3 linked regions of the Caenorhabditis elegans genome follow. The protein of the gene in region 3 purifies or fractionates together with the protein of the main gene of each other region. This does not show direct contact. Each region holds a gene or a part of one and is shown on either strand. Other genes may lie near its edges.

Region 1 (7,552 bases), on a different chromosome or scaffold from region 3:
CGTTTGTCCATAGTTTGTAGTCTATGTAGTCTTTGTAGTCTGCGAAGTTTTAGCTTCTGGAGGGATAGTGAGTTGGGGGTAGTGTAGGGATATAGTCGGGGTACTGTAGTGGTACAATGGTGGTACGGTAGGAGTACTGTATGATTACGGTAGTTTCAGAAAAATTGGTTTTCAGCTCCAGAAGTCGGGGGCCGCGCCGGAGGTGCGGTCCACGGCTGGTATATATATAATACTGGAGGCGGTCACTCAAGCATCCATCAAGAAATTATGACTTCCGGAAAAAATTTTCAGATCCATATGATTGCGATGAAAACTTCCGACGCCTAGGAAAACCTCTATTGATGGCAACATCTAGTACTCATTTTCTTGTTTTTCCATGATTTCAACTACATACAAATGTGATTTTTTATAAAGTAATTTTCATTGAGCGATCCTATGCAATTTTAAAGATATAATAAATAACAAACAAAAATAGTATTCAAAGAATAACTCGATTGCAATTTGACATGGCTGAAATGATTGTTTCCATAATACCGGTTTTGTGCAATTGAAATATTTGAAGATCGAAGATAGTAACAGAAAATTAATCATCCCATGTAGCAGTCGATGTAGATGGTTGTTCCCATGGTTCAGGTATTCCGAAAAGTTCTCGCATTTCCTCGGCATTTTTTCCTTTCGCAGAATTGGCAACTGTTTTGCAGCCGTAATTGATAAGTCCGGTAACGTCCAAATGATATGCAGCAGTAATCAGATCGAACAAATTTGACATTGGCAGTCTACTGAGAAAATGTCTATCCCAGGAAGGAATGCAAATATTTTTCTTGTCCTTCTCGGCCAGTGCAATTGCAGGATCATCTTCTTTGTGTTTATCGCACCATTCAATCAGTAATTTTAATGTAAATCCAACAACATTGTTCACAGGTACCGGTTTTAATTCAGCACAGTATTCCTTGTCATATCCTAGCTCTCTGATGGTTGCAGCAAGTGTACTTGAGAGGAGGAGGGCCCGGATGTCTCCCTGCAACAAATGTCCATCTGAGGATGTCAGTTGAAGTAATCGAGGTGGCGGACCGGACGGCTTTGGTACACTAAACGAAATATTAGATAATTATTTTTATCAAAATGTTATAAAAATACCTTGGTGGTGCTCGTTTTGTATTGTTCTTCTTCGGCATCTGCTTTCCGGACGAAATGTGATGTCTGAAATGGAAAAATTAGAAAGGAAACGAAATTTTGCTGAGAAAATGATCTTAAAAACTTTTTGTCGAACACCATTCGCCACAGAGCGCATTTGCGTTCTTGTTCTACTTCATTCGGCGGCAAATTCAAATTTTAAAACACCCTCGCACAACACAAAAAATCATCGTAAATATTAAAAACGATCAATATCATGCGAACCCCACACCAGAACAAATTCGAACGGTTTACAATTTTTAAATTTTAAGCTCTCTCAAATGTTACTAGTAGTAAGAACTGAACCTATATCGAAAGCATATCCATACGAGATCTCCGAAGATTGTAGGGAAGAGAAAATCTGGAAAATATTTTTCTATATTCTACCCCATATTTACAATAATAAATATTAAAAATATATAAATCAATAAGTGATCGTGTAATATCGATAGGGTTTCGCGCTCCACTGCACTCCCGCCAGCGGCTCTATCAAGTTCTTGAACATCAACAATCTAAGAATGAGCGTTATAATAAAAATAATTTTATTTGACATGCATTAAATAGGAAACATTGTAGAATAATCGACAAAACTTGGTGAATAGAGGGGACGAGATCAATACAGGCGGTTTTATATGAATACGAGATGACTACGAACATGATGTTTACTCAGTTTTCCTTTGTTTCTGAGGTTGATGGCATTTGAAGAACAGCCGGTTTGAATTTTGGAACGGGCTCGGACAGTTTGATATAGTTGTAACGCGGCGTCGGAGTCGCCAATTTCTTTTCAGCTTGAGCTTTCATACGACGTTCTGCCCATTCTGAAGTATCATCTTTGATGGAGGAACGAGTGGTGAATTTAGCTGCTGGTTTCTGGAAAAATAATTATTTATAGTGAAAAGTTGCACTTTTATCTACCTGTGGCGTAACGGCAATACTGGATAATGAATGCCCTAATTGAGGCATGGGTTCCACGTTTTTCGGTTTAATGAAGAATGATGGTCGTCCATTGTTAAGAGTTTTCAGAGGAGCAGCAAGAAGCGGGTGCTCGAAATCCTTATTGACAACTGGTGCAGCTTTTCTGTGAGCACATTTATTGTCGAATTGTAGTTGCACAATGTCCGCTTTGAGATTTTCTACTTCCTGTTGCAATCCACGAATAATTGTCACGTACTTTTCGTTGTCCTTCATCAAACCGTCAAAACCTCCTTTCACGCTCGCAATTGACAATTCGAACGACTTGAAGTAGCCGGTAATCAACGCTCCCACTTCGCGTTTTGGAATTGACCTCATTTTAATGAACATTCTTTCCCACAAATGAACCCTTTCCGTTTCCAGGTGACAAACTCTGTCTCTGAGACGACGCATCTCTTTGACATCAATATCACTTGTGGTCATTCGGGTAACGTTGAATCTTTTTGTGGATGACCGAAGTCTTTCTTCGACTTCTTCTACTTCCATTCGAAGACGTTTTACCATCCCTTTCAGTGCTCGATTCTCTCCATGAAGAACTTTCAGGTCTTCTTCAACCTTCCGCTCGGCATCAATAACCTGAAGAATATTAAAAAAAATGCAGTTAATTGATATTTTTTAACCTACCTCAGAAAACATTGAATTTCCGCGTGCCGCTAATTTTCCTTCATGGGAGTTTCTCTCATCAAAAAGCTCTCCTTCCAATCTGGCAATTTCCTCATCACGCGTCTCCATATGATTTTTGAGGTCCCGAATATGATCCATCATCGACTCAATTTCATCTTTCAAGTTGACCGCTTCTTTTTCGAGTTCGGCGTTTCGTTCGTAAAGAGCAGTCGCCGTCTCTTTGTATTTCTGACAATCTTCGCTAATACGAAGCATTTCAGATTCTCCGAAGGAATTGGAATCATCATGTTCGGGAATCACTGATCCGTTGGCAAACTCCTTATTCTGAGAATTCAATATATTAATGTTGCCCACAATGATGAAAACCTACAATTTTTTCGAGTTTGTCGATCTCACTACGCAGTGAATCGATGAGAGCGTCCCGATCAAGAATTGTGGCGTTTTTTCCGTCCATCTCAACATGAAGATCGCGAAGTTGTTCACTCAATTCTTGTGCACGTTCTTCGAGTGAAAGTTTGGAAGAACAAGGTTTTCCCTGATTTTTGAGATCGTCTTCCATCTCCTCGAGCATTTCATCTTTTTGACGGAGAATTTTCTTGAGCCTCTCAACGTCCTGAAATATTAGGTTTAGTTGGTAATAGATGAAATGATAAAACGTTACAGCAAGTAATTGGAGCTTCTCCTCGTCGTCAGGCATACTGATTGAAGTTCGATTCTTCTGAAAACATGAAAATGTTTCGATAGAAAACGATCAGTAGAATATTTTTCACGGCAACACGATTTATAAGAACGTTTCACGCAGATCTATAGCTTTTGATGTTTTAATAAAGCGTAAAATTGATTGCGAATATATTTAAACTAATTTTATGGGAATATTTTGAGCTAAATTATATCAAAACGATTGAAAAACAATATTTTTAGGTAAATTGAGGCGCAACTCATTTTGAAATGCGTTGAATACCGCTGGTTCCCGCCGAGAATTGGTTGTTCACGATAGAGCGCACTTGCATGTTTTTATTTTCGTCAATTATTTTCGGATTTATTTCTGAAGATTCAAGGAAAAAACGAGTCGCAATGGCTTCTGGAGGTATTCCCACGCCATTTATGGGAACTGGAGTTAAACAAGATCTTCATTTATTGTGCAACAAGTTTATATCTATGGGATCCAACAGGTATAGTTAGAAAATGTATTATTTGATGGAAAATCTTGATTAATTAAGAATTCGAGACTTTGCTGATGTTTTTCGGGATATGCATTTTGAGACCATTCTTCATTATCGATTAAATCCTGCCGAATGCTTAGAGGTAGCTTTATTTTGATTTTATTTAGTCTATTATAATATTCCGGCTTTCAGTTTACTGAATACCTGTTACAACACGCAGCAATGTATTTCGGAAAAGTGAATGAAGTTGGAGCATTCAGGGCATTCAAGGTTTGAAATAGAAGTAAAAATAAGTCTGAAATGTTATATTTTCAGGAGAGGCTATTCGGAGTTTATGTTTGCTATGCGTTGTACAATTTGCAGCCAGTTGATCATGTCTGTCAGGTGATTAATTCTAAGTTTAATTTAGTTTTAAAAAATTTAATTCAGATTCCGGTCACTGCGGTACAATTCGAAGAGCTTCTCGAATTTCAAAAATCTTTAGAAGTCGAAAAACTTCTTGAACCAATTGCGGCTCTCAAAATGCTTATTCTGAAGAAAGCGTTTAGAATTAAAGTGTTTCAGTCGACATATGATCCGGCAACCCACAAAAAATACCTTGCCGAGGAAGAGTTGCCCTATTTTAACAAAATTCCAGTTGTAAGTAAGTTAAATTATTGGAATTTTTTCATAAACAGTTTCAGGAGCCGTTTTCCAGTGTTACGAAAATGCTCAGTTCTGATATTATGACGGAATTATCATTTATTCACGGAGTTTACACAGAGGCTAAGCAAAAACTTGGACTAAGTGATACTCTAACGGGGCTCAAATCACCATTACACGAAATCAAGGGCATTGTCGAAAAATATAAAGAACAGTTCGAAAGTTCTCCAACAAATCCAGAAATTAGTAGCGCTCCAGAGGAAACAGCTGGTTCAAGCAGATCAACTTTGAGAAGTAAAGCATATGCTGAAGGACTAAAACACACTAGACAAAGAAGGCATCTTGATCCAAACATGGAAGGTACATTTATTACACGAAAATATGTTTTTTTTTTTCAAAAGTCAGCGTTCAACTTTTGCAGAAAACTTCAAACATCTTACCGCAAGAACGTTTGGTGACATCGCCCAGGAATGTTTGGATGATAATGATGCTCAGGTTCCAATGTAAGCAATTACAGTTTAACCCCAAAATAATAACCTATTTTTACAGCCCGATTGATCGCCCTGTAAGACAACGGCGACGCAGAAAAACGACAACAGTTAATCCTGAAGAGTTATTAGACGATAATGCATTGGCTGAAGAAGTTCTACGAAATGAGTATGCTGCCAGAATAAAGCCTGAAATACCTGAAGATTCATTGGGCGGTAAAGTAGGCAAGCAGGGAACATCGGGAGTTGCAAGAATTCGGGCACCAAAACGTGCAAATGCGAAATTGGTTGAAGTGAAACGAGAACAAATCCCACAAACTTCTGCTCCGATAACTGCTTCCCAAATGTAAGTGAAGATTTTTGTTTTTTTCTTCAATTAAAAATTATTAAATTATTCAGTGACGAATCATTCACATCGCCTGCGAACAAGAAGAACAGAAAATCGGCCAGCGTAGTTGAAGTGAAACCTCGAATCAGTGATGAATGGGCCAACAAACTGCACGCATGGCATGGACAAGTCGAGGCTACGGATAAACATTTGAAAAAGTTGACAAGTCAAATTAAGCTGGAAGTTATTGAAGACGAAGAAACATAATCATTTCATTTTCCTTGCTAACCATTTTTTTTAATGAAAATTATACTACATGAATTTTTTTTTTGAAAATTAAATTAAATTTGCTGCTGAGTTGCCTATCATCTCCGACTTTTGTTATTTTATTAATCTCTGTTGGTTCAATCTTTTCAATCTTATACTTTTATCTGTCCAACTTCCAATTATCACCAGTGATAAATCGCCGCAAAAGACCAATTGAAATGGCCTGATATCGTGCATTACATGATTATTTCATACAGTTATCATCTTGTGCTGTAGCCCATTCGTGAAAGCATTGAGTGCACTTTTCAGAATCTTGTTGTAGTTCTACTGAAAATTGGTTTTAATCCTATAGGATAAAATTTTCGTTTGTGATGGGAAGGCAGTATTGAGAAATTGTGGTTTTCGTTTGAAAACGTACTATGCTAAAGTTCTCTTCAAATGACGATTAGTTCAAGGTCTTGCTTAGTTTCCCATTCTTTCTTGAGATACTATCAAATAGTAACTATCTACGACTTTCTTACTTATCCTTTTTTTCTAGAACGCATCCGTATTTTCTCAGTTACTCTTGCACCAAATAACTTATATGACTGCAGATATCAGAAAATATTTAATATGTTATAAAAACTACAAAAAAAAAATTTTGTTTTGAGAAAACAACAGAATTTTCAAAGTTGAATAATAGAGCAAATACCTAAATGCTAAATTTCGCTGTTTAAAAATTACGGTACCCGGTCTCGAAACGGCCAATAATTTTCAGTGAAAGGAGAGGAGTGCGGTTTTAAGGAGTACCGTTGTTCAATTTTTCTTAGTTTTCACACTCACTGTTTATTAAAAATTGAAGCTTAAAAAACAGGAAACGATAAAAAACTAAGAAATCAGCAAACTGCTGAAACTACTGTACTCTTTAAAGGCGTACACTTGTTTTTGTTGACATATTTTTAATCGTGTCAGGTACCGTACAACATGGCACTGGCATCTCCATATAAACATCACTGCATAAGACAAACAAAGAGAAGTTCCACGTTGAACTATTTGGCAAATTTTTGGCAAAACATTATTGTTGTTGCCCCGATAACAACCCAACCAAATCGTTCACAGGTCATCATGCACCAAAATATTGTTAATACTCATTTGTTATCAAATTAAAAGACTTCCCCACTCACTTTTTCTGCTTCAAATACCGCTATTTTCAAAAAATGTTTCGATTTATCTTTTTTGTCTTTTGTAAGAATCCGATTTCTATGAAGGAATCGGCGCCCCGCTGAGAATGTGTATTGCTTCATGTATGCAAAAGTGCACTGAGTGCCACGACGAACGCTTTAGTGAGAGAACGAGAGACCCAGCATGCTATGTTCCTTCTATATAAATATTGAACAAAACAAGTGGTTTTATGCCAGAAGCACGTTTGTTTCTCATTTTCTTGTCATTTTTGCTTAGATTAAGAACATTTAGCGGACATTGATAGTTCTATGACTTCTCTTTTTTCCAATTTACCAACCGTTTGCCACCTTAACGCTCCGCCCTTTTCTCTGATTGTATAAAAGAATCGGACTTAATACGAGCAAATTTCAGTCGGTGAATCTCATCAAACAACGGATTCGTGGTTCCCGACAGAGAATAACTACGGTTAAAACGAACCAAGGAAAATGACGAATACTGGAGAAACTAAAGTTATTGAATCTCATGGAACCATTAAGAAGATCGATTCTCTGTCCACAATGCCATATTGGTAGGTTCTTTATATTAATCTTCTAAACTTAGAGCATCTTTTTATGTCTCAAAATGCTTTTAAAAAAAGCACTGAAATATGCCTCCTTTCTACCAATTCTACCTACTTGACCTCTATCTTATCAGAAGACATGTCTACCACCCATTTGTCCCACTGCGATCACAAA
Region 2 (8,345 bases), on a different chromosome or scaffold from region 3:
AAATTCAATGGATTGTCTTTGGGAGTAAGATTTTTACCTAAAAAATTACAAAAGTCTAATGTTTCTAGCAACTCACCTAGAGGACTCCAAGCCACTCCGTGAATACGGAATTCGTGATGGATATACTATTTACTCTACTCCAACTTATGTCGAGATTCAAGACATGCCAAATCTTTGATTTGTTTTTTTTCTTAATAAAGTTAAATTGATTTATTTATGATTTGAATCTATCTGTAAGAGCAAGTTAACTAGTAAAAGGTGATATTTGAATTCTGTTATGAGATGTTCTGAACATTGATCAAAAAACTATATCGTTTGAAACATTTGAAAAAATAGCCTTTTTTCAGCTAAAATCTTATATTTTGCCAGAAATATAAGATTTTAGCTATATATATATATTTTTTTTTTGTCTGGTGTTTTTTTTTGAGTATGACCCATTAATGCATATTTTTGTAACTTATTACGTGTTCTTTTCTTAATTAAGATGTATTTTCAGTAGACAAGTATGCAAATGTGATACTATTTTGTGGACCAATATACTGAAAATGTAACTAAATTAACGAAAAATGGGTAATAGATAACAAAAATATATATTAAAGGGCGGTAGTCAGTTTAAAATCAAGTTCCGTGTTTTACAACACTGACGGCATTTTTTCCAAAACTTTAAACATCCATACTTTTTTTAACAGAAGGTCTAAGAAAGTTGGTAGTTTGGGATTATTTTGGTTCTGAAAAACAACGCCTCAGGTTTGGGTGAAAAAAAGAAACGTATATACATACAATTATGAAAAAAGTTTTTTGTTACAAGTCAAAATTGAAACATGAAATCTTGGATTTCTATCTCTTATTCATGCGTGTCTTGAATTGATTACCCCTCTTCGCCTCAACTTTGTTGGCTCCTTGCTTTTGACCATTGAGCATTGTGTCAATTTTGGCAACTCTCGGACCTCTGCAGCCAGAAAAATACATTTTCTCGCCCTCCCCTCTTTCCGTTGTCTTCTCTTCAATTCGACGATGACAAAGAAAGAAATCTTTTCATTAGGTTTGGCTTTGCGAGAAGTGTTGGAATGAAGATGAGTTGAGCAGGAGACACTTCTCGTTTTCTTATTCATTAACGCTTTCATATGCCATGAAATCGATTCTGATGCTTTTTTTCGTGTAACATCTCATTATGAGCGGAAATGTTTGTTGAAGGTGCACAACTTGTTGATATCACGTTTCAAAAATTGTTTGCTTTTTGGTTTTCTGAAAAACAATTGTAGAATACCCCCAATTCTTACTTTTTTCTTTAACACTAAACACGCAAAGTTGTTAACACTATACTAATTAATGAATTCATGCCCAACCAATGACTTACGCACATTATTTTGATATTCACCGTTTGAAAGTTGAGTTTAAATTACAGTTTTATTAAGTTGGCAAGAAAGTCCTGTCCTATTTTTCAATCATTTATTTCTCGAAGCAAACTAAAACAAGAAATCAGTTATATGTTCCATCATGATCAACAACGTCCTGCCAACGTTGAGGTAACTTGTGGATCCCCTGCCTGTAGAATCCAGCGGGCAGGGACTCGAAGTATTGCTTGATATCAGATTTGAAATTTTCTCTTGTTTTGAAAGCTATACCTTGAAGGGCAAGAGTCAGATCGGAGAAAAGCCAATAATCACTTAGAGCAATGTCAGGAAAATTCGGTGGTAGAGGGAGAATCACCCATCCATATTTTGTCAGATCCTGCACCACTTGTTTTAAAACATGTGGTTGAGAGTTTTTTTTTTTTTTAATTTTTTTTCAATCGTTAAGGTCTCAACAAAACACTATTCAGTCAACGTTTTGGTAAATGTCCGAAATTTGGAAAAATTGTTAGAATTTCCCCTTCTGGCGTCAGACCATTTTTGATATTTGCAAGTTAATTTTTCGTTCAATTACTTTAAAAGGAATAGTGTGCCATCTAAATTGCAAATGACTCTCCAGACTTTTTCACGTGTTTCCAACAAAAATATTGAAAAGACAACAAAAAAAATTAAAAATGTTGGGTACTTTTAATTGAAATTTAAAACTGCTGTGAAATATTTTAAAGACATTTATATTAAATTGTTTTTGGGCTCAAAATATTTTTAAGGAAAAAAAAATTAAAACAAATGTCTTTGAAAATATTTTCTTAACTAATTTTCATTAACAAAACTTTTTATTCAGACATATTCAGACGCGATGCTGTTGTGAAATTTTTGATGATTCTTTCGAAAAAAAAATCAAACGAATTATATTTGAGTTAAATTCTATCAGCAAATGTTCCAACGGGCAGTTCCATCACTCAGCTATATCTGTCAACGCGTTTTCTCTTTCTCCTTTTCTTCAAAATGTCAATACTCAAGTGGCGTCCAGCACTCTTTTTGCTATACTACATATGCTTTGCTACTATAGCAACCAATTGCTTTTTGACTTCTTGAGAGGGAAACGGAGAAGAGGATTACCTCTCTTCATCAGTTTGTTTTTTTTTCCTTTTTCTTGAGTAGCTGATTCATCAAAAAATTTTCGGTGGTTGAAACAGAAAAGCACTTTCAAACCAAACAATGAAAACCGGCAGAAGAGTTGCCTTGATATTTGTTTTAATGAAAAAGCACTGTTTTTATATTACTTTTTACAACTGGACAGAGCCTGAGACAAAGATGAGCAAATTGCGAGGAAAAGATTTTGAAATAAGATTGTGAGCAAGAAGTTACACAAACTGCTTGGTCTTTCACTCAAGTCTTTGTTTCACCTGCTTTCTCATTTTGTTAAATTTCACCTGAAGTGTTCCGTTGTATTTTGATCTGCAAAAGAACTGTTTTGTTCTGAAAGAAACTGTTATAAGAAAAACACCTGTTGTGTTTTGAGATTTCATTAATTCGCAAAAATCAAAAATTTTCATTGATTTTTGGATGGTTCTTAATTAAAATTTTTTATTCAATTTGCGATTTGGAATCTAAATTTTTTAAATGCATAGTTTTCCTGGTATATTTTGTAAATTTTTTTAGTTTTGCGAGAATTTGAATCCACAAATTTTGAATCAACAAAGTTGATAATTTTCCGAGTTGTTTTGTTGATATTACTGTTAAAATTTCAAAATTTCAAGAAAAAATTTATAACAATTTTTGGCAAATATTTTTGAAACAACTTTTTATTAATTTATTTATTTTTCCAAAAATTCGATTTTCCCGTTTTACACAGAACATTTTCGAAACTGTTGTACACAAAACAATATACCATCTTAAATTAACTGGACGTCTCATTATTTCAACATATTGACTTCTGGCGTCCTTGCAACCCGAATCAATGCGTCTCCCGCGCATCTATTGTTGATTCATTGAAGTTATGCAGAAACTGGTGGATGAGATAGCGCTATTCAGATGTAGATCGCAGACGCTTCTTACTGTCTCTCCTCTATCTCGGGTTCTCGTTTTCCCACATTTCCACGACGGCAATACGATCTAACAAGAAGAGGAAATGGGAGAGAAATGACAGGTAGAGACTGCTGTATAGCTATCCTTGTTTCTAAATATCTTAGGAATTGGTAGTCAGACAACATTTTTTGTTGTACATAAGGTATTTGAAAATGAAAACAGTTTTATTGAATAAAAAATTCGAGCAAGTGCAAAAAAAAACCAATTCAAAACTCATTCATACATTTCTAAACAAGTCGAAAAGCAAGTAGATATCCCATCTTCAAACTTGAATTATTTTCACTTTTCCCTCTATTCTCAAGTCAAAATGCAAATGTTTCCCAAGAGATTTCTCTGTTGGCCTCAATCCTCATGTTTTCTGTGCTATTTTATATATAATTTGAAATTTTTTTTTTTTGAAAGCGCAAACTTTACTTATTAAAATTTCTGTATTTCAGCTTTTCACAATGCCGGGAAGTATATCAAGTACTCCGGAGAGTCCAGATATAATGCGTTTTGTAGTATCAGTTGGTTGTCTCGTTTTTTCACTTATGCTCACGTCATTTGGAATTGTTAATAATGCTTGGATTGTTTTGGACAGACCAAACGAAAACGATGAGTTTCAGGTAAGTAATTTTGTTAAATTTCAATTGAGAAGAATAGGGTGTTTAAGTTGTTATACTTGAATAATTAAAAATATATTTCAGAGAGGAATTCGAGGACACGATTGTTACCGTAACAATGCACCAGGAAACGAGAACATCTTCTGCCTTCCATGGGATTTTGAAGATAAAGCGGAAAAGTTTCCAGATCCGTTTACCAAAGTGTTGGCCGCTTCAACTGGTACGTTGTTTGAATTTTGCCAAAACTCCCGATTGCCGAAAATATGAAAAATTTCCAAATTTCTCTATACGAAAAAGTTCACGTTTCAAGCTCAATGTGTCTCAAATCTCAGTTTTCTGAATCTGTTTTCTGGAACACGACTGAGATGACAAATTGTGCCAACATTTACTTTTTTGTTTTCAAAATGTAGTCACGGATGAAAATTGGCAATTTTGGCATCATCAAAAACTGTCAAAACAACCGAAAATTAACATTTTCAACAATTGCTCAAATTTGAGTCGGCGAAAGTTTTTAGAAACCAGAAATTGTGGAAATCTGTTTTTTTGATTGATTTAAAATAATTTATCATAATAATTAAACATTAAGTTAAGTTAAATAAATAAATCAATCAATAATTAGGCATGTAGGTCGTCCCAATTGTTTTTTGGCCTGCATTGCAGATCTCGATAAGAATTATCTGAAAATAAGGAAACGATAAACAAACGTTTTAAGTTTTTTAACTTTAGTTGAAAGTGTTTCGATGTGGCTGTAATAAAAAATAAAGGTATTATTTAAAAATATATTATAAGTTTATTTTTCTCCACTAAATATTTATTTTTCAGTTGTTCGAGTGACATTCCACATTGCTCTGGTCATATTGGCGTTTCAAATTTTCTACCTCGCATATACCATTGGACACTGTTGTAGCCAGTCATTTACAGAATTGACAAAAAAGCGAAAACTCGCATTTTTCCATGCAATGCTCGTTCCAGGTGCGGTTCCAAAACGTGACTACAAACTATTAATGCTTATTTTTGCAGTTGGCCTTTGGATTATTCTCCTACTACTTGTACTTTACGAAACTTACACTGATAATCTTCTCCCATTGTCTCTGAGAAAAGAAGATGTAAGATTTTTACGATGATTCAAAGAAAGTATAAAGTTACTTCATATATTCCAATCGAAGCAGAAGGGTTTCTAGCCTTTAATTCAATAAGCTGTTTGTTCAGCGAAGCGTACTATGAAAATTATTTTTAAGTGTTTTGGTATTGCAACGAGTGTTCTTTGCAAATTTAATAGTCTTTTTTCGAAAGGGTGTATTAGAATCATAAGCTGAAGTTATCTGACGCAAATATGATAAAAATAAATCGTTATGATTTTTACGATTACTTTTTTTAAAAACTTCATACTGAGGAAAATAAAGTTATAATATATTTTGAAGTACTTTATTAAATTACCAAAATCTCTTGTTTTCATCAATAATTTTTCACCCACAAAAAATGTCTACGAAAAAATGAACATTGAAAAAAACCAAAACGTGATGTAAGGTCTGAAAGGTTACCAGCCCACCAATAATTGGAGAATTCTAGGTCATTATAAGCAAATATATAAGTTGTATTTAGCTGAATTCTTCCACTACTCAATAACCTACATACATTTTTAAGACAGAACGCATAAATTATTTTGATACTTCAAATTTATCAAAACGTTATTGATATCAGAAAATTATAGAAATTTCCTAGCTTTTTACTAAAAAAAAAAGTGTAGACGAAATTTGAAAGTTTGAGTTTAAAGAAACATATTTTGGTAAAACGAAGCAAAAAACATATTTTAACTGTTTCCTAGCTAATTAATTCTTGTTATTCAAAACGATTTTATTTTCAGTACAAATACAAAATCGGATCCGGCTTTTGGTTTTTCTTCCTCGGTGGCCTACTTCCATTTATTGGAGCACTCTACTTCTTGTTTAGAGAGCAGATGGATGCATCGAAAACTCGTCTTAGAGGACTTATCAATCGACATCAGCCAATACCATCAAATGTGAACGAGAGTGACCGTGACGGGGTAGAACTGGTCAGGACAAATCATGGAGGAAGGGTGTAGCTTGAGTCTTGCTCAGCAAAATATTGTCAATGTTTCTGAAGCTTTATGTATTTTTACCGATGATTTTATCTAACAAGGAAAGGTTTTTATTTTCCCGTCCCGACAGACATCAAAACGAGAGATGTGCATTCTGCACTCTGAACTCCAACCGTTTTGATCTGAAATTTTTTTCTCTACTTTCCAGCCAGTTTTGGCAGACTTTCGACATTTAAGGATGTTTATGGGTAAATTATCATTTCGGAAATTTTAGTTTTTGAGTGGTACTGAGCCGTTTTCGATTTGATGTCTGAGGGTTGAAAACCTTTCCTTGTAGTTCTACATTACACTAACAATGCTCAAATTTTGTTCAGTCCCGCCGAATTCCAGATCTCAATTTGTTTCTAAATGTATTTTCAGAAAAAATAAAAACATTTTCAAATGATGACGCAATACATATTTATATCTAGAACGGGATCTTCGAGGACTGGAAAATACGTCGTTTTTAGTGTCTCAATCACGCTGCCAGTGATTCCCAAGTGGCCCTCGCAAGCTCGTTTACATACTGATGGGAGCTAAGAAAAGATGCGGAAGAAACACAAAGAAATTCAGAGTATTGTTCTACCATCAATCATGTTTGAGGCATGAAGCGCTACTTTTCGGTGGAAGTTTATCGGTATTTGTTAAAAGAGTGGATAAAAACACGTCACTTTAATTCACTTCATTTTTAAATAAACACAAAAAAATCAAAATAGAGCGGTGAACCGCGAACAAGGACATAATTGATGGCGGCAGACGAATGCGCGACAGCAGAAGCACACCTTGCGATCCTCCTCCAAGTCTATAGTCTCCTCAGGATCAACTTCTGCTCGGTCAATCATTGCGATAAATTTACTGCATACTCCTGAAAGTTAAACAATATTTATAAATGCTGAAATTAATGTGTTAAATATATGTTGTTGGTACTTTAAACTACTTTTACTTCCTACATATTTCAATTTCAACATCACTCTTTTCACTTGTCAAGTCAAAGTAACTAACTAACTCCCACACACACACATACTTTAAATTGAAATATTGCAAGTACAACATGCAGCATGAGAAAAAAGTATCGTAAAACAAAGTATGAAACATTTTCAAACTATGAAAAACGTACCTGCAAAAAGGCAAGCAATCAGAAGAAGTGTGATGAATTTAGGTGACATAGTAAATCTTGTCAAGTAAATACCAAACAAATTGGGTGCAAAAAGAACTTAATAGAAGTCAAGAGGGACAAGTCAAAGTGACGAAAAAGGCGTGTGGCTCCCACTCGAGTTCACAGCTACCCACAGATACCAATTTTAGAACTAGGCCCCGCCTCTCTCCTAAGAAATGGGGTTGAGTTGAAATGCATGGCGTCACTTTTGGGTCTAAATGTGGTGCAGTAAAGTATTAAATGTAGTGTTTATGAAAATAACAATTTTACATAGAAAAGCTGAAGTAACCTGGAAACTTTGAGCAAAATAAAAAATATTTACACCCTTTAAAATGACTCGACTAAAGTTTAAGATTATATCTTCGTAAACTTGGGAATCTATAAAAAGAAAAACTAAATAAAACGATTATTGATAACCTGAGTAATATTTAAAACTGGTTAAAAAACGTCGAAAGTCACTGAAACCCTCTGAATAAATCAGATTTTTTAATTGATTTTGATTCCAACCAGTTGCCAAAAATACTTCCAGAAACATCTCTGAAACGTGTTTTATAGAATAATAGGAAAACGCGCTAAAACACGGTAGCTGCTTGTGATATACACTCATATTTTCAAGACTTAATTTTAGCCATAATTTTTTGAAACACCAATTCTCATTCCTAAAGTCTAGCGAATGACAGCTTTTTAGCAACAAATAATCTAAAAAATTGCTAATCAATAGATCTAATATCTTAAAAAATAGTTCAAAATGATTTTCACAGAGTGAAACTTAGATTTTTAACTACAGAATTACAAATAATTCTAAAAGTTTTCGGTGGCATTAAGCGTAGAATAGCGCGATTGTGGAAAATTGATAAAAATCTATAGTGCCAAAATGGCCAAATAAAAATTGTTTCAAATTTCATGGTCTACCTATGTTTTAAATAATAATATTCAAACATTTTATTCGCTCGAACATGCGACTGTGCTATTTTTTCTCAAAAAGTGATAAAAACTTAGTAATTTTCACTTTTTGTGTGTCAATTTTTTGAATATGTGCAAAGAGTTTT
Region 3 (6,774 bases):
AATTACGCAAGCTGTTACTTCTAAAAAACATTGTATACATTTTAGGGTTGTAGTGAACTTTTATAATATTTGCTCAAAAACTCTGAAACATTAAAATGACGTGCTGGTCTGCTTTTATTCTCGAATTATATGATCAAATCTCTGATTTTCTGGTTAAAAAATTCCCTATTGTATTTTGATAGACTTTTTCTCCTTATTTCATTTTTTCACAGGGTATATGAGATGATGTTCAAAGTGGTTCATAATATCCAGTTAAGAATCAAAATACTTCACTTTCAAATTAAGTGTCCTGGGCTTCTGAATGCAGGTGTTGTCTACATATTATTTCTCAAATCAAAATACTCTGTCATTTCTTACGAGCTTAACCAATTCACCTTTTGTATGGCAGCAGCAGGCGTCATACATTTCCATCTCAATTGACCTATTCTCGAGTCTCGGCTGTCCATGTAATTATCCATTTTCACCGTGAACCCTTCTGTCCATCGTATTTTTTTCCCATCGCTCCTCTCTTTCTCTTCATCTCCACAGTTTGACCTTTACACAGAAACTCTTTTTCCCGAATAATATGTAGTTCTTCTCGTAGTTTTCGGAAGAAGTACCGCCCGCCGCAAGGATTTCTCTTCGTTCCGTCCATCTTAAAAACACGAGCTTAATTGAGAAGCGATCATGTCTTCTTGTCCCGCCCGGGAACGTCATCATGCGTCCCGCCCGTATTCTGGTCGTACTAGTTACCACCTATGCTCCTCCCACATTTGTTTGGTTCCCCAGATGAAGTAGAAGAAGAGCATTTAATTTAGTTTTGAACGTGTGTCGTTACAACTACTTATTCTTGTACTTCCTCAAGATTTTTTTATTATTACAGACAGACACAATGCTTCTGAGGTTAGGATTTCTTTTGGTATGCTCAATGCTAGAGAAAGTGATAGGACAAACGAAAGTGGTCAACTATATTGATAACTCTATAATAGGTAAGTTCAATTTTCATTTTACTGAAATTTTTAAAGTTTTTTAAAATTGAACAGTTTATTCTAACTTGTGATTAATCTACTATTATCCAGAGGCAGAAAACTGCAGTTCACCAGATGAATTTTGTTTTGAATTCTAGAATATATAATATGTGATATTGATCTCTGATCACGGTTTTTGACTCGAAGCTTGCAAAATTATCACTTAAAAGACACTATGACCAGAGTAAATTTTATTAGCCGTTCACAAAAAAAATGGTCTCGGCACGACCGAAACGTCGAAGCTACAGTACCCGCAGTTTCCCAATTCATGTTGCAAACTTTAAACTTTTGGAAAAAATACGTAAAATATTTGGAAATAATGAGTAAACATTGTGGAAAATTGCTGCGGATAGATTCAAAGTTCCGATCGGTTCAAGACCGGGTACCGTATATTTCAAAAAATTCAATTTACAGCAAAACTAATCTGACATATGCAGACAAATTCTCAAAAAGCCGTATGAAATTCGTTAAAAATTTTTTTTGGTCTTACACATTTTAGAAAACAAAAGTTGTAACTTGCCTAGACCGATCTTACACCGGTTTTGTTGTTAAGAAAACATTAATCATTTTCTGCATCTTCAAAACGTGTATGCTACAGTAATATATCCTTTTTAAGCAAAAAATCCACAGGCAGATCAAATAGTTGCGACTACTGACCCCATTCCCTACACTTCGGCCTAAGTAGCGATAATTATATAGAGAGAAAGAGTTCAATGTTCTGAATACAAAAAAAATTATAAAGCGTGCGATAATCCATGTCTACAAGTTTGCAAGTCTCAAAGCAATTACAAGATAAATCCACTAAATCTAACCGCAAAAAAACGACCTTCAAGAACAACAAAAATGAGAATAATGAGGTGCGGAAGTGGTCGTGTAAAGCGTATTAAACAGAGCTCCCCTCTCATTTATTTCTACAGGTACACCCAAGGTAATATGCGCGGAAAATGATCTGGCACTCGACATTGTCACCTCCAAACCATTTCGTGGAAATATTTTTGTAAAGGGACGAGCGAAAGACAAGTCATGTCGACAAAGTTATGCGAACAATGGAACAAACTCATACTCATTGCCGCTTGGAAAATGTGGAATGCAACGGTTACGATCGGTAAATGGACCGAAAACGACAATTTTGTGAGATGTTTTTTTTTATTCAGGCAAATCCTCGAGGCGTCAATTTTATGGTCACAGTCATTGTATCATTCCATCCAGCTGGATTCATCACAAAAAATGATAGGGCATTCCATGTTAAATGTTTCTATATGGAACCAGATGAGATTGTTACTCAGAATATTGATGTTAGGTAGGTAATCGTTTATTTTAATATGCCTCATTTCAACTATTGCGTTCAATAATTATTTTTCAGTTTTTCATTTTGAGTGCAACACTGATAGGAACTGCAAGTTTAATTTTAAATCAGTAATATGTATTAAGAAAAAGATACTGAAGTTTTAACATTTTATTTCAATAATTTTACATTGAGATTCTATACTTTTCAGTGTTTAGTATTTGAGGGTGAAAAATCTTTGAACTCACCAGATAAGATTATCGGAAACTCTTAAATTTTTTTTTCAAGTCTATGTTCTTGCAAATTGCCAAATTGAACTTTTTGCGTATTTCGGAGCATTGATGATATTTGAATTTTCAAACACAAATAATTAAAAAAATAATCAAAAAAATTAATTTTCAGTATGATCCCAACGACTGAACTATCTGACAGTATGGTAATGCCAAAATGCGAGTATTCAGTTCGTCGTGATGGTCCAAATGGTCCAACTTTAACATATGCCAATGTCGGAGATATTGTATTTCATGTATGGGAATGTACACCGGCTGATATGGGAATGCTTGTCAAAAAGTGTTTTGTAACAGATGGAGACGGAGAAGATCATGCTGTTGTTGACTTTGATGGCTGTGCAACTGATCCATTCTTGCTCAGTGAGCTGTCTTACGATGCTTCACTTATGCGAGCTCATGCATCAAGTCAAGTTTTCAAATATGCAGACTCAAATCAATTATATTTCACTTGTCAGATAAGATTGTGTCAGAAACAAATGGGAATGTGCCAGGAAGTTACGGTAATAGAGTTCGAAGATTGTTGAAGCAAATACTTATTTTTGATTTTCAGCCACCAAACTGTGGAGTCAAGAAATTGCTGAGTGAAGCAAGTGGTGATGGAAATCGAACAAAAAGAGAAGCTGATCGGTCTGATTATGAGGTAATCATAGATTGTTTCCGGATTATATATTTTTTTAATCCTCCTAACATGAAAACAATAAAATATTTAGATCGACGTAGCAACATCAGAACTTCTTGTACTTGATCCAGCAGATCGTGGGCTCCTTGCTCCTTCTCCATTCTGTGTTCCACGACTACTTCTTCCAGTTCTTCCCCTTATTCTTATCACAATTGTATCATTAACAGTTGTCTCCACAGCACTAGTGATTCGAAGACAAAATCACAAAAAAGAGCTCGATATAATGCAGTCAGGCAGATATTATTGATTTTCACATTATTATATTATTTTATAAATTACACGTCCCGATTGTACGGTTTCAGCTCCCATTTTTCTCTTAAAAATTCCCTTGAACTCTCTCGAAAGTCAGGCACAAATTTCTCATTCTTTTTCTCTGTGATGTCTGTTCCACACATATTTTTACGGAATCTAATTCATCAGGCATCAATGTTATTTTATATAAATTTACGAGTGTTTACATTAATAAAATCTGAATTTTATTTGACGAGGATAACGACACAGCTAAAAAAAAACAAAAATCGAGAAAAAGTTGCTTACATTCGGATCTAAAAGTAAATTTAAGAAAACAGATAGATCGAGACGATTAGAAGTCGATTCCGATGGTTGGAGCAAAGAGACCGGATCCTCCGGTTTGTAGAGTTCTTCCTTGTTGACGATCCCACCAAAGAAGCTTTCCATCCAAACATGCTTCATTCGACTTGTCCATTGGGACAAACATAAGACGAGTGTAAATGTAGAAGAGAGCGAAAACGGTTCCGACGTACAGGAATACGGTGCGTGGTGTGAAACGGAAGAACTCGGCTTGAGTCATATCAGCAGAATACCAACGGAACATTGCTGGATCCATGGTGACTCCCTCCTTGTACTTGAAGCTATGAGGATCGTATTCACGACGGAGATATTCCTTCTTCAAAATCTCCTTGACACGATATCTGAAAGTAATTTTTTAAAAATAAAATGTAGTTTTTTTATCATAAAGTTGGATATTAAAAACTGAATTTATGTTAATTCAGTGTTTAATATCCAATTTTATCGCAACAGTTTTTTTAAAGCAATTTTTGATTTGATACTCTGTAAATTATATCAAGAAACTGTTTTTTTTTGTCTCTATTGCTAATAAATCACTTGAAATAAGTGTTCATCAACGCAAATGTTATCATATATTGATTTTTCAATAGAATTAAATAATTTTAAATTGAGAATATAATTAAAACTATGTTTCTCACTGTTTTTAGAATTTTTTTAAAAACTTTTAAGCAAAAAGCGTTTTTCGTATTACCTCCACAAAACTGCTTTCTTCTCCTCGTCGCTCAGATTGTATTCATGTCCTGGCAGAAATTCGGTCTTTCCTATACAGAACAATTATTATTTTACAAGTTAACAGTAAATTATGAAAAATAAATCGATAAAATAAAAGTTTTACCGTGAGTCTCAAAATATCCAAGCACTGGATCCTGCCACAGTTTCGGAGATTTAATATTTTGGTTGGCAGCTGGTCGAAGAAGTCTTAATGCCAACTTCATTTTGGTTCAACCTGGAATTAAAATATTAATAAACAAAATCGGAAAACAAGACGGAAATTAAGAAAAATAAAATAAAAAGTTCTGAACAACTGGTTCAAACGACACTCCGATATTTCGCAACAGCGCCTTGTTTATCGTAAATCTACATCACATTTCAAAGCGAAAGGAATTTTCCTCAATTCAATTTTCTTCAATTCTTTCCTAAATCGAGGCCATAATTATTTTTTTTCGCACATTAAACTTAACTTAAAACTCAAATTTTAGCCATGGAAACCGACGGCGATCCCACAAATGAAATTCCCGGTAGCTCTATGGCTTTTGAAGTCGCAAACCATACTGTAACCGAAGAACCATCACCACTGGACAGAGTCAGTTTTCTAATAAAATAAACTATTTAAAAATGTAAAATTTTGTAGATTCTCGCAGAAGGTCGCAGCTTCAATGGTGGCAATTGGTCCAGTGACGACTTGAGAAGTTTATTGGATGGAGTGATGAAGTATGGTACCAAAATTGAAGCCATAAACTATATTCACCGAAACATTGTAAAAAAACGATCTATCGAAGAGATAAAGTAAGTTTTTAAAATATATGTTCAACATTTAATCATTATTCTTTTTCAGGGCGAAAATTGACGAGATTCGAGAGATTATCAAGGAACACAAAGAGATTATTCTCCCTGAGTGTTACAAAAATAAATGGATCGAAGCAGGACATCATAATATCACTCCTCCACCATTTTGCCAAGTGGATCCAAATGACGACTGGAGCAGTATCATGGGAAAAATAGTCGATCATCATCATGGATCAATCAACAAGACCCTACCTTCTCTTAGAGATACTTATGAGGTTTTATATTTTATTAGTCAGCAATTGAAAAATGCTCAAATTTTCAGACACTCTTCGAGAATCTCGCTCTAGAATCTAAAACTCACGAAAATGCGGTGGTGACCAAACTTCTCACCGCAAAAGCTACAAGAACTGACTCTCAAAATATAAGATGGCCAGTCATTTACAGATTCATGAAAGCATGTGCCACATTGGAAGAGCAAATGCCAGCGCTCAATGAACTTGGTCAGTAAACCCAGAATAATTCTAACTCTGAGGGAACTTAACCAGCGCTACAGTTTTATTTTCAGAAGCGGCAGTTGTCTCCAAAGTACTAGACACTATCGAAACCGAAGCTACGACAACTCCAGATACTGAGAAATCTATTCTTGCCGGTATTTTCAGTGAATGTCAACAAGGCAATTACCGCTTCTGTGAGCAAGACTATCCTCCGAACGTTATGGCGGCAGTTCAACTGTTCGTGGATCCACTCCGTACCCGTTTTCATGCGATCCCTGAAGTTGCATCTGAAGTCGAATTAATCAACTTTACGAAGGACAACCAGCCATCTACATCGTCCAATTGAAATTTTTATTAATTTTTTGTTATATCCTGTCATATCATCCGGTCGTTTCACTGGTATTTAATACATTGTTATTAAGTTTATTGATTTCAAGTCTAACAAAGACAAAAATGGTAGAAACCCGCTTCTTGACAAGTTCGTCGTCGTCCAAAGACACGTGTTGATTTGTTTGTTATAGCTGTCTGAATCGAGGAGATCTACTGTCTGCTGATGTTCCGTTTGTAGTTGGTTCAGTCGGTTGAAAGTTCTTGGTTTCCTCAACTACCTGATCGAATATTACTTCAATTCCAAGCCATGTCTCTTTTCCAATTGGAATAAGCCAATGTGGTTTGACTTGGAATGCGAACCAAGCTGAAATTGAATGTTATTCTAGTTTTCATGGAAGATCTAAACGAATTCTTACTTTTCATATCAGGTGGCAATTCCAGTACATAGACATATTTTGTCGGAGTATTCTTTTTAATCCAATCAGTTGCTCCTCCAGTTGCTGTTCCAAGCATATCTGCTGCAGTTCCAACTCGATATTTTGTCTCCCGATAAGCGAAAACGCGATCAGCTGCTCTGTTTGCCAGAATTTCCTGA

The links. Proteins that work in one complex are often made in the same cells at the same time.
Region 1: the proteins of tofu-5 (region 3) and snpc-1.1 purify together in Caenorhabditis elegans (affinity purification with mass spectrometry, with the first as the bait; one study listed by BioGRID). This does not show direct contact.
Region 2: the proteins of tofu-5 (region 3) and T22E5.6 purify together in Caenorhabditis elegans (affinity purification with mass spectrometry, with the first as the bait; one study listed by BioGRID). This does not show direct contact.

Annotation. Positions count from the first base shown.
Region 1 is NC_003280.10:7,777,501-7,785,052, reverse strand, and holds snpc-1.1 (snRNA-activating protein complex subunit 1), read left to right. Parts: upstream 1-3,751; 5' UTR 3,752-3,843; coding exon 3,844-3,941; intron 3,942-3,989; coding exon 3,990-4,074; intron 4,075-4,124; coding exon 4,125-4,202; intron 4,203-4,247; coding exon 4,248-4,316; intron 4,317-4,361; coding exon 4,362-4,571; intron 4,572-4,615; coding exon 4,616-4,934; intron 4,935-4,995; coding exon 4,996-5,077; intron 5,078-5,123; coding exon 5,124-5,408; intron 5,409-5,461; coding exon 5,462-5,657; 3' UTR 5,658-5,756; downstream 5,757-7,552. Other genes in the region: skr-17 (Skp1-related protein), read right to left, coding at 584-1,088, 1,138-1,175; Spindly-like protein spdl-1, read right to left, coding at 1,840-2,043, 2,089-2,721, 2,770-3,093, 3,140-3,382, 3,431-3,466; mthf-1 (putative methylenetetrahydrofolate reductase (NADPH)), read left to right, coding at 7,304-7,386.
Region 2 is NC_003284.9:6,411,942-6,420,286, reverse strand, and holds T22E5.6 (uncharacterized protein), read left to right. Parts: upstream 1-3,879; 5' UTR 3,880-3,886; coding exon 3,887-4,045; intron 4,046-4,126; coding exon 4,127-4,262; intron 4,263-4,864; coding exon 4,865-5,014; intron 5,015-5,062; coding exon 5,063-5,148; intron 5,149-5,906; coding exon 5,907-6,125; 3' UTR 6,126-6,549; downstream 6,550-8,345. Other genes in the region: K10C2.12 (Ubiquitin-like domain-containing protein), read left to right, coding at 1-24, 69-178; nssp-78 (Accessory protein 7b), read right to left, coding at 6,848-7,005, 7,258-7,306.
Region 3 is NC_003279.8:7,064,392-7,071,165, forward strand, and holds tofu-5 (Twenty One u-rna (21U-RNA) biogenesis Fouled Up), read left to right. Parts: upstream 1-5,048; 5' UTR 5,049-5,050; coding exon 5,051-5,152; intron 5,153-5,200; coding exon 5,201-5,355; intron 5,356-5,404; coding exon 5,405-5,630; intron 5,631-5,677; coding exon 5,678-5,855; intron 5,856-5,920; coding exon 5,921-6,195; 3' UTR 6,196-6,274; downstream 6,275-6,774. Other genes in the region: cutl-6 (ZP domain-containing protein), read left to right, coding at 872-968, 1,925-2,112, 2,162-2,307, 2,695-3,082, 3,133-3,222, 3,293-3,508; nuo-6 (NADH dehydrogenase [ubiquinone] 1 beta subcomplex subunit 4), read right to left, coding at 3,845-4,193, 4,541-4,610, 4,685-4,784; W01A8.6 (Peptidase M14 domain-containing protein), read right to left, coding at 6,365-6,543, 6,596-6,770.